Linked DNA regions of Arabidopsis thaliana. The protein of the gene in region 1 interacts with the protein of each later gene in a pairwise test. Each region holds a gene or a part of one and is shown in the gene's direction. Other genes may lie near its edges.

Region 1 (5,662 bases):
GGCAGTTGATGTACCATAATTGGTGCAAACACACATTTTTCTTGAATTTTTGTTTAACTTAAATAAAGTTACTTCGTTTTCTTGTTTTTTTTAATATGAATAAAAAAAATCAACCATAACTGATAGTAGGTTGGTTATCTTTATCAAAACAAATAAAGTTAATAGGCAGAAAAATAATTGTCTATAGAATCAATTATGAAAATGCCATTTTTTGGGATGGCATTTGTGGATTTTGCCCTTTTTTTAATAGTTTGTGAATTTTGCCATTTTTCAGGTTACGTGAATGAATATACGTTTTATTCATTATGTTTGGGTTTACTCGGTTGTGGTTGTTCTTAGGGTTTAGTATTTTGTGTAAACTACGTATTTTTACCAAAAAAAGTCCGAAATCCATATATTTTTAAATCTTAGAAAATGGCTTATCCGTAAGATTTTAGTAAAAATGGCAATTTCAAAAGATCTCTATAAAAAATGGCAAAATCAACAATAATCCCTTGTCTATATGGTGGTATTTCTGCTAAAAGTGACTTATGGGTAGATTTTTTAGCTTCATAGATTCTTTGTCGAAAAAAAATTACTTTGTACATTTTAGTGGAGTTATTTAAATTTCCCAATTGAACAAAACCATATATTGATGAAATTCGCAAATGCAATCCAAAAATAAATATGTTCCACTCTTTTGGTTAGCTTTTAACTAAAGATGCGTTTTACTTTATGTAAGTGGTTGATCTTTTGGCAATGGGGGACAATGACTATACAATCTAAGAGATCATTTTAACGAATATCATTCATATTTCATCCTCTTCTTCAAATTTCAGTTTCACTAATTAACCACGTTTCAATTGTAGTGTATCGCGAGCTGTAAATATTATCTAATTTATGTTACATAATCATAACTGTAATCTTTATTAGACAAAAACATATATACCTCACTGCAAACACCTTCAAACATGGATAACTTGATTTAGGCATACAAATATTATTTCTCATTTATTTGATATGACCTATATTATGTGGCTATTTTATCAGTTTTAGTGTTTTTTATGATAATTGAACCACTTAAATGTTTATCTCATTTTTCAATTTATTTTAAACTGAATTAAAAAGTAAGAAAGTATGATCCAATAAGGCATCGACACATGGAAACCCATTTTAAGGTAGAAGATGCTTTTCTGCGGCTTCTGAAAACAACTAGAAAATGATATGATACGTTGCTTTCATTTATTGTAAGTATTATTTAGTTTTAATTCACGCGCTTCATATCCAGCTGCAAGACTACTACAACTTGCAATTATGAGACTCTCGTTAGAAAATTACCAGGTATAATTTAAAAACAAAAAGAACTAGAATATATTGGCAATTATTTGAAGTAAGAAAATATGAGATTCTTGACCGAGTTGTTAAACTATCAAACCCAAAAGTTTTGGTTAAAAAATAAGCTAGTACTATGTACATATGTTTTATGTTGAAAATATATTAAACTGTATGTAAGAGGGAGTGTACTTTCATTTTAGATATACATTTCCAGCTAGTACGAGGTCTCTATATATAAACTTTCTTAATATCGCTAAACAAATTTTACTTTCAAGTTTGTAATGTGATAAGTGAAAGACCGTATATACATACACATGTTAATCAACTGATAACCTTTGTGCCTCGTGTGTCTAGTTACTAGTCAACCATCAAACGTGCATGATGCTGTTTTTCTTAGAGTACTATTGTTGTGTTATATATAACTAAACATAAACAATTTGCTATTATGATATAAACATAGAATTTTCAAGCAATGATATGTTTAGATGTTTTGTATAAATATTCCATAAATAGTAGACACCCATATATACACAAACATGAATTCTACCTGAGGAGAAACACATAGATGTTCAAATTAAATAATAACCCTATAATGAAAACTCTAAAGTAAGTAATACGAAATAAAAATTTATCCTTTAAATAACATATAAACATATATATACAAGTTTAATTGGTAATTGTATCACAAGAGCCAATTATTTGGTGACTGTATCACACGTGCTTAAAGAGAGCGTGGGAATGAAAGTAAAGAAGAATAAAGAAGCAGAGAGATGGGCTAGAAATGAGAAAACACACCAAACCCTAACCTCACCCTCACACATTTCTTATCTTTTGCTCTCAATAGATTCCATTGATTCAAAACAAAATTTTCATTAAGATTTCACAACCTCCACACACTTCCAAACACAATTAAAGAGAGGAAAAAGAATCAATAACCCTATAAATAAAAAATCAGACAAACAGAAGTTTCCTCTTCTTCTTCCTTAAGCTAGTACCTTTTGTTCTTGAAATTAGGGTTAATTTCTTTTTTCCAAATACCATCAATTCTCCAGACCATAAAAACTCAAAAAGATCAGATCTTTCCTCTGAAAAAGAGATACCCAACTTATGTTTTTGTGTGTCTGTATATAGATAAACATTACATACCCATATTTGTGTATAGACATAAAAAGTGGAAATTAAGGTAACAAAAAGAAATGGGAAGAGGAAGAGTAGAGCTGAAGAGGATAGAGAACAAAATCAACAGACAAGTAACGTTTGCAAAGCGTAGGAACGGTTTGTTGAAGAAAGCTTATGAATTGTCTGTTCTCTGTGATGCTGAAGTTGCTCTCATCATCTTCTCCAACCGTGGAAAGCTCTATGAGTTTTGCAGCTCCTCAAAGTAAACAACTCTCTCACTCTTTATCAGTTTCTTGATTGAGTTTTTGCTAGATCTGAGCTTAGATCTTTGTCTCAAGGACTTGTTATATATAGATCACACGATCTTGATTTCTACGAAGTTGAGTTAATTAGATTTCTTGATTTCATTTTCTAGGGTTTTTTTCCAATTCTTGAAATTTAAGATCTGGTTTTTTTGTTGTCAATGATTTAGAACTGTGAATTTTGTAATCGAATAGATTCCAAATCCTGATATGCAATCTGAAAAGTTTTATATAATTAATATATGTCTGTGTGATTGGAAACTTAAAAGTTGTTCACAGATTTCTATGAAAATTACAAGTATCCAACGTAGAATGATAATATATGGTTACATGCATTAACCATTTGTTAGTTCATCATACTTTATGGTGGTTAAAACTTCAAACGCGTGTATATCTGTGAAGGCTTTGATTGTTTGTTTTTTCTTAAAAACAATGTTTAATAGATTTTTAATTATATGTTAAAATAGTTTTGCTTACATGCATTCAAGAAAATATAGCGATTAATTCCTTTTTTCAAATCACAATTTGTGAATCAAACGAAAACGTAAGATATTGCTTGCAAATGATAGGATTGAACTATTGATATTTGTAAATATAAATACGAAACTTTACGTTTGAAAGTTGAAACAATCAAATCCAAATCAACTCGTATATAATCAGATAAATAATGGAAACAATCTTCAATTTTGATGGAAGAATACTTTAAAACTTGAAGAGCTTTTTTTTTATGGTGATTTATAGGTTTAGATCTCCAAAGTCAAGTATGATCTTTTTAATAAACTCTTATTCTCTCTTTTTGAGTTATTTTCAGCATGCTCAAGACACTTGATCGGTACCAGAAATGCAGCTATGGATCCATTGAAGTCAACAACAAACCTGCCAAAGAACTTGAGGTGTTCTTAATTCAAATACTATTTTAGATTCCTATCATATCATTTCAAGAAAGATCTTTTTTAAAAGTTTGTTTTCGTGAAATATTTCAGAACAGCTACAGAGAATATCTGAAGCTTAAGGGTAGATATGAGAACCTTCAACGTCAACAGAGGTACATATCTGTCTACCTCCGTATATTTACTCAATTCTGTATCCATGTAGATTCATATTTGTAGGTGTGTGTGGCTTTTGTTGGTGCAGAAATCTTCTTGGGGAGGATTTAGGACCTTTGAATTCAAAGGAGTTAGAGCAGCTTGAGCGTCAACTGGACGGCTCTCTCAAGCAAGTTCGGTCCATCAAGGTATCTTTATACATGGAATCAATGATTCAAATGAGATTAATTTGTGTTGTTTAATTATAACTACTATGGTGGTATGATGATTGTTTGCAGACACAGTACATGCTTGACCAGCTCTCGGATCTTCAAAATAAAGAGCAAATGTTGCTTGAAACCAATAGAGCTTTGGCAATGAAGGTATAATTACAGAATAAATGCATTTGGTGCCTTGCGATCAATCTCTTTCACAGAGTTTAAGTTTCTAAACATTTTTGGAAACATCTCTAGTTTTCTTGTTTCTGATTATAGTCTTTTGGTGAAATGTAAATGTTTAGCTGGATGATATGATTGGTGTGAGAAGTCATCATATGGGAGGAGGAGGAGGATGGGAAGGTGGTGAACAGAATGTTACCTACGCGCATCATCAAGCTCAGTCTCAGGGACTATACCAGCCTCTTGAATGCAATCCAACTCTGCAAATGGGGTAAATCCTTTGCCTTAAACAATCATCTGCAAATCAGCTTGTGTACTTCACTACTAAGATTGTACTTATATAAGGTTCTTTAGTTACTTGGTGTAAAGAGGATCATCAATGTGTGTGAACCTTTTAAGTTGCTGTTTTGGTGATGATGATGATGATGACAGGTATGATAATCCGGTATGCTCAGAGCAAATAACTGCGACAACCCAAGCTCAGGCGCAGCAGGGAAACGGTTACATCCCGGGGTGGATGCTCTGAGAGTCATGTGCTGTGTTAAAGCTCACCAACAAAAGATCTTTTATATATATAAAAGTATAGACACAAGACTTTGGATTTGTAGACATAAGTGGCTATATATAATGGTCCTGAGGATCTTCAAGACATTTGTATCTTTTGGGAATCCTTGCTTATATTAAGAATTCAAATGTGTGGAACTTGTTTTAACACTGAACCATGACACTGGTTTATTATCATGTAATGAGAAACATTTGGGTTACAATGTGATCTCTCCTTGACCCAAATACCCAATGTAAACTATATGCCAAAATACAAGCATCACATATATATTCATAAATTCATAAAAGGTTAAAAGTAATCATACAAAATGATGTAAAAAGTTTCATGCCTTGAACAAAACACTGCGCCAAAGGCAAATCCTAAGAAACATGTCAGATTCCTGTGTGCATCTGTTCTGCTGCTGCTGTTGTTTTCTCTCAAGAGGGTTTCCTCAGAACTCCATAAGCCAAACGTGCAGAGAGACGTTTCCTCATTTCCCCATCATATACAATATCATATATTGTTAAAAAATATATTCACATCTCTCTGCTGCCTTGTCAATCTCCCCAGGTCCGGTCTAGGCAGTACAAGACAGGATCAATGGCAACAAGTTACGGTGTTTCGTGGAACTCCATCACCTGCAAATGAGACGAATTCACAGCAGAGAAAAAAATATTCTTTAGTCAACATGAATGAGAAATAATTCAAATGTTCTGAGTTTCAGGAAGAATGATTAGCCATATTTGTCATAGACAAGACAAGTAAAGATTTTACGCATGTGCTTCTAGGGTTGTTGTACATCTTTCATTCTATTGATCTCTGGATCACTCGTCTATTTACGCGTGATGGTGTCTGAGTCTGACTCTGAAACACTAGTAAATGAGAAGCCGAAAACTGGCTTGGAAGAACATGAAAAGTGTTTACCTTTCCACAAACAGGGCAGTTTTCACTTCTCTCCAT
Region 2 (5,710 bases), on another chromosome or scaffold:
GAAGTAGAGTCTGATATGGCGGAGGATTCGGAGTCAGAGATGGAGGAATCAGAGGAAGAAGAGACGAGGAAGAAGCGGAGGATATCGACGGCGGTGAAGAGGTTGAGGGAAGAAGCGGCAAGTGTAGTGGAAGATGTTGGGAAGAGTGTGTGGGAGAAGAAAGAGTGGATAAGGAGAAAGATGTTGGAGATTGAGGAGAAGAAGATTGGGTATGAGTGGGAAGGAGTGGAGATGGAGAAGCAGAGAGTGAAGTGGATGAGATATAGGAGCAAGAAAGAGAGAGAGATGGAGAAGGCTAAGCTTGACAATCAGAGACGGAGGCTTGAGACGGAGAGGATGATTCTCATGTTACGGCGGAGTGAAATTGAGTTGAATGAGTTACAGTCTTCGGGTACACGGGTTGACCCGAGTTCCGCTAAGGGGTGATGCTGATTAGTATTTAGGATTAGAGATTTTTTACAACTTTGTAGTTTCTAATGTTAGGATTCTCACGTTTTAGTGACATTAGGCAGTAAATTAAATCTTAAAAGTATGTACTATTGTAGACAAAAGGTCTTTAATCAGCAAATTGATTAAGCATGTCTACTTTTGTAGTTTCAATTTTCGAATAAGGATTCTCTCACGCTGTCAATATTTAAGTGGTTAATTGGTAAAAGTGAGAAGAAATTAATCAATCGTACAAAGGTTAACACACATACTAAGGGAAAAAAAAAATGACACACCCGGTGGGACTCGAACCCACAATCGTTTGATTAGAAGTCAAACGCCTTATCCATTAGGCCACGGGTGCTCTGCTTGCACTAGAGTATTGAGAAAACATTAAGAAACATAATTACAATCAGTAAAACTACCCACGGCCCACGGGCGATCCTCGTTTATTTAAAGAATATATGTTTCTCTATTTAATAATTTACCCTTCAAAGCATCACAATGGAGAGTTTTTCTTCTATTTTTAACCAACTAGAGTTTTGTGTACAAGTAGTTATTAAAGATATAATTCAAGAACTGTTATGATATTTGTAAGAAGAAGAGATTTTCTATTATAAATACTTGAGTGAAAGTTTAGGTAGGTTACACAATGTCAATAATGTGACAAAGATTATTTGAGATGATAGAACACAAAAAAATATCATACCATACCACTATATTCCATTTCCATCTAGTGTTTGAGCAGATATTCTGCTTTGTACATGTTTCTTGCACCTACAATAAGATTCAAAAGTTTAATTAGATACCATTGGAACTATAGCGATAGTTGCAGTTTTCTCTAAAGTTTTCCTATAACATATTTTCGGACATATGGTAGGAGCATCTGGAAGATTATGAGGATCAACAAATAGCGGAAAACAAATTACTGTATACACATTGCTTTCAAAAACCAAACAATCTTCGTCAAATGAATTTTGTAACTTTTGCTGAATATGATACCAAGTGGAGTCCAATGACAAACAATCTCCGGTATGAATTTAGTGTCGTACGTGAAGTATATATAAGTTACAAATCATGTCTTTAGAACAAATGATGGAAAGTGATATATCATATATACAGTGAGACACGATGCGATCAATCAAACGACCAAATTAAAAAAAAAAATTAGTAACATAATTATGACTCGTTGTTATATCTAAAAATGACAGGAAAACATTGGACTAAACCATTTTTTTCAGTTTTAATTGTTGTAACACCTGTTTCCAACGTTTTATATTGATAGTATTAATTATTTTCTTCGTTCACCCGTTACATCAATTGAAAATTGAATTGTTATCATCAAAGGTTTTATAATTTTATAAATTTTAATCTTACAAAGACAAAATCATTATGGGAATATATATCTGTGAAAGAATTTTGATAATATGTATTTTGTTGGAAAGCTGAAAAATATGAGGTAACGTAGGTTATTGACTGTAACGGAAGCGAATTTAACTATGTTTCGGTTTGGATTAACCAAAACCGAATAGAATAACGCAATTTAACTTTGGTTCGGTTTGGTTTTTGTGAATTAACTTTTTTTTATTCCACCCTTACCACTTGCCTAACGGAGCCGTTGTGACGGCCCATCCACTTTTGCGCTAGTTCACGCCTTGACGCCTTCTCCTTCCGTTTCTTCAGCCTCTCGCCGCTAATTAACGCCGTCTCTGGTTGCTACCACCGCCGTAACCCTAACGGCATTTTTAATGGCGTCGTGTGATGACGATTTCTCTCTACTTGGAGACGATCAGTCAAACCCTAATCAACATCACCACCACCACCAAGTTCTTCATCACACGCCCTACGCTCCTAGACGATTCAACCCGAAACCATCGAATCAGATCCTTTTACCGCATCACCAGAGGAACGGCGACGAGGACGACGAGAACGATGTCGTTGTAGAAGCGTCTTCTGCTTTCCACGGTCACGGTGTTAATCCTTTCACGGCGGACGAAAATTCGAATCCGTATGATGATAATAACGCAGCTGTAGACGAAGACGAAGACGAAGATCTCGGTGCCAACAGATCTAGAATCGGAGGTGTTCGTGTTGAGAAGAGGCAGAGTCAGGAGGAGCTAAGTGACGGAGGAACAACAAATGGCGGTGAGATTACTCCCTACGGTAGCTTCAAGAGACCGAGGACTTCGTCTTCCTCAGCTGGTGAGTATAGGAAGGATAGAGAAGAGTGGAGTGATGCGGCGATTGCGTGTTTGTTAGATGCGTATTCGGATAAGTTCACACAGCTTAATCGAGGGAATCTCCGGGGAAGAGATTGGGAAGAGGTTGCTTCATCGGTGAGTGAGAGGTGTGAAAAGCTGAGTAAGAGTGTAGAACAGTGTAAGAACAAGATTGATAATCTCAAGAAGAGGTATAAGCTTGAAAGGCATAGAATGAGCAGTGGTGGAACAGCAGCTAGTCACTGGCCTTGGTTTAAGAAGATGGAAGATATTGTGGGCAATTCATTAGCCTTGAAAGGCGCGTCTGATGAAGATAGAAGCGGAAGCTCAATGGGGAATACTGTGAAGCCAGCTAGAAGGTAATGCAGAAACGATCACTAGCAACTCTTTTGTATTTTGTGCTCTTGTGAAAGTGAAAGTTTTTGGTTTTGTATTTCTTGTTTCAGGTATCCTCTGGTAACATATAACCCAGGAGTTCAGATTAATAACGTCAAATCAAAGGCTACATCAAACCCTAGATGGCGAAGAGTGGTTCTAAAAATCAGTGGTGCAGCTCTTGCCTGCACCGGTCCTAATAACATTGATCCAAAGGTTTCCTCCAGAATGTGTAATCTTTTGTTGATTCATGCATTTTCTCTATCCGACCTCAGCATCAAATTCTCTTTTGATTATTTAGGTAATCAATCTGATTGCAAGAGAAGTTGCAATGGCTTGTCGTCTTGGTGTAGAGGTAACACTTAGTTCTAGATTGTTAGCGTTTTATCCTTTTTCAGTTAAATGGTATTCATAGTTTGGTTCTTCCAGGTAGCGATAGTTGTTGGGAGTCGGAACTTTTTTTGTGGCAGCACATGGGTAACTGCCACTGGTTTGGATAGAACCACTGCATATCATATAAGGTTGGTCAAAATATTTCAGTTGATAAAATGTTTGAATTGTGCTTTGTATAAAGCATGATGGCTGTAGTATGATAATCGAACTGGCTGGTGCAAACACTGTATGAGAATTTTATCTGCTCATGATGAGTTATATTTCCATATTTGATTTATCGTGCTCTGAAGTTCTCACAGATGATTTTTTTTTTCATCATTTCAAATGGTCTCACATGTCATCTTTGCCAAAACATCCATGCACTTAGCAACAAAATAGTATTGCCTTCTATGTTCTGTTTTGCTGGAGATAGGTTGTTCAGCTCACCGAATTTCTGTTATGTAACAGTATGATGGCGTCTGTGATGAACTCTGCTTTACTTCAATCGTCCCTGGAGAAAATAGGGGTGCAGGCACGGTTACAAACTGCAATATCGGTTCAGGGTGTCGGGGAGCCTTACAATCGTCAACGAGCCACCCGGCATCTAGATAAGGGAAGAGTGGTAATATTTGGTGGCATCGGTGCCACGCTTGGAAATCCACTTTTATCATCTGATGCATCTGCAGCCCTTCGAGCTATAGACAGTACAACTCTCTTACTTCCTCTTAGTGTTGTTCTCTTTCCATTAGTAACTGGTCCTAAGTGGTAACCTAAGATCTCTTGTTATCAGTCAATGCGGAGGCAGTGGTGAAAGGAACAAACGTTGATGGTGTTTATGACTGTCATTCACAAGATAGTAACGTGACATTTGAGCACATATCATTTCAAGATTTGGCTTCTAGAGGTCTTACGTCAATGGATACAATGGCCCTTAACTTTTGTGAAGAGAACAGCATTCCAGGTCGAGATTCTTCTTCTCTCTCTTATCATGTTTAGCTAATCCGTTTTAGATTACTTAGATCTGGCTGTGAGATAAATGGTTAAACTTAGTGACCTAGACAGAATTATACAAATGGTTTACTCGAGATGGGACCTCTAGAATCCTGATTTCCATCAGTGGATAATAGATCAATACCCTTATACTTGTCCCGCAATGAGTGCTTAGCACCTGATGATAGAATCGAACGTTGAATGTAAATGACCTGATTCCTTGTCCTCTGGATTAAAAAAAAACAGTTGTGGTATTTAACTTTCTGGAAGCTGGGAACATCACAAAAGCTTTGTGCGGAGAACAAGTGGGTACTTTGATCGATAGAAGCGGAAGGGGCGTGAGTTAGTAGTATATGTGTGAATTCATAACACTTTGTAAACACGTTGTTTTTTCCGTAAGTAATTATATTTCATAGATGAGTTGACAAGAAAAAGGAGAGTTGCTCCATTCACAAGTGAAGACGTTGTAATATTGAAGATGTTGACACGTTTGAGAGATTTTCTTTCTCCATCTTCGTTGACTGACTTCTTCTTTCTGAATGATTGTATTTACGATTTTGTTTGTAATGCTTTAATACTATTAGAGCAAATGTCAAAATCTATTGCTGAGTATCAAAATAATCCGATCATGATGTGAACAAACATGTAATGTATGGGGACCGAACAGTATAAAAATACACAAAGGCCCAATTAGAGTAACACCCTCGAATGGATAATTACTTGACAGACTCAAATAAAAAAATGAGAAGTTTCCGTAAGCTACGAGAAAGACAAGGTAGTCGCTAGAAACTTCAATTCATCAGATATTTTTGTCCCCTATCTTCTTATCCCCTCACGCACCTCTTACACACACTCTTATATAAAGAAAACACTCTTTGCTCATTCTAATTAAACGCAAACGTACAAGTAGTGAAGTATCACGACTTTGATTTATTTCTGTATATCTAAGATGCAGGCGGTATCAGTTGATGAAACCAAAAACACGGTGGTGCTACGGGCGGAGCACAAGAATGAAGAAGGCCGGAAATCTGTTGATAAGTTCGAAGTGAAGACACGTAATCCGGAGACGATCAAGAGCGTTGAGCGGAAGCTTATGGAGAAAGGTGTTCAACGGATGGATCGTCATCCTTCCGATGGGATTCCTCTCAGGCGACCACCATCGAAGTCAGGTCACGGCGGGAAGTACACGTGGGAAGGACCTGATCGGATGGAGGATTACGAGATGCAGCCGGATCCACCGGCGATGGATGAAGGAGATCCTAATTACGACGAGGAACAGGTGAAGAAGAGTGGTGATGACGTGGCGGTTGAGCTTGTGAAAGGAGAGG

The links. Proteins that work in one complex are often made in the same cells at the same time.
Region 2: the proteins of SEP1 (region 1) and AT3G10030 interact in a two-hybrid assay, tested with the Arabidopsis thaliana proteins (one large-scale study listed by BioGRID).

The regions. Positions count from the first base shown.
Region 1 is NC_003076.8:5,150,616-5,156,277, reverse strand, and holds SEP1 (K-box region and MADS-box transcription factor family protein), read left to right. Parts: upstream 1-2,024; 5' UTR 2,025-2,510; coding exon 2,511-2,695; intron 2,696-3,546; coding exon 3,547-3,628; intron 3,629-3,718; coding exon 3,719-3,780; intron 3,781-3,869; coding exon 3,870-3,969; intron 3,970-4,059; coding exon 4,060-4,143; intron 4,144-4,280; coding exon 4,281-4,429; intron 4,430-4,557; coding exon 4,558-4,684; 3' UTR 4,685-4,944; downstream 4,945-5,662. Other genes in the region: AT5G15790 (RING/U-box superfamily protein), read right to left, coding at 5,507-5,662. UniProt on the Arabidopsis thaliana protein: Probable transcription factor. Functions with SEPALLATA2/AGL4 and SEPALLATA3/AGL9 to ensure proper development of petals, stamens and carpels, and to prevent the indeterminate growth of the flower meristem.
Region 2 is NC_003074.8:3,091,296-3,097,005, reverse strand, and holds AT3G10030 (aspartate/glutamate/uridylate kinase family protein), read left to right. Parts: upstream 1-1,980; 5' UTR 1,981-2,174; coding exon 2,175-3,004; intron 3,005-3,091; coding exon 3,092-3,236; intron 3,237-3,321; coding exon 3,322-3,375; intron 3,376-3,449; coding exon 3,450-3,541; intron 3,542-3,860; coding exon 3,861-4,096; intron 4,097-4,182; coding exon 4,183-4,353; coding exon of another isoform or gene 4,354-4,388; exon of another isoform or gene 4,389-4,628; coding exon 4,629-4,729; 3' UTR 4,730-4,990; downstream 4,991-5,710. Other genes in the region: AT3G10040 (sequence-specific DNA binding transcription factor), read left to right, coding at 1-426; AT3G10020 (plant/protein), read left to right, coding at 5,332-5,710.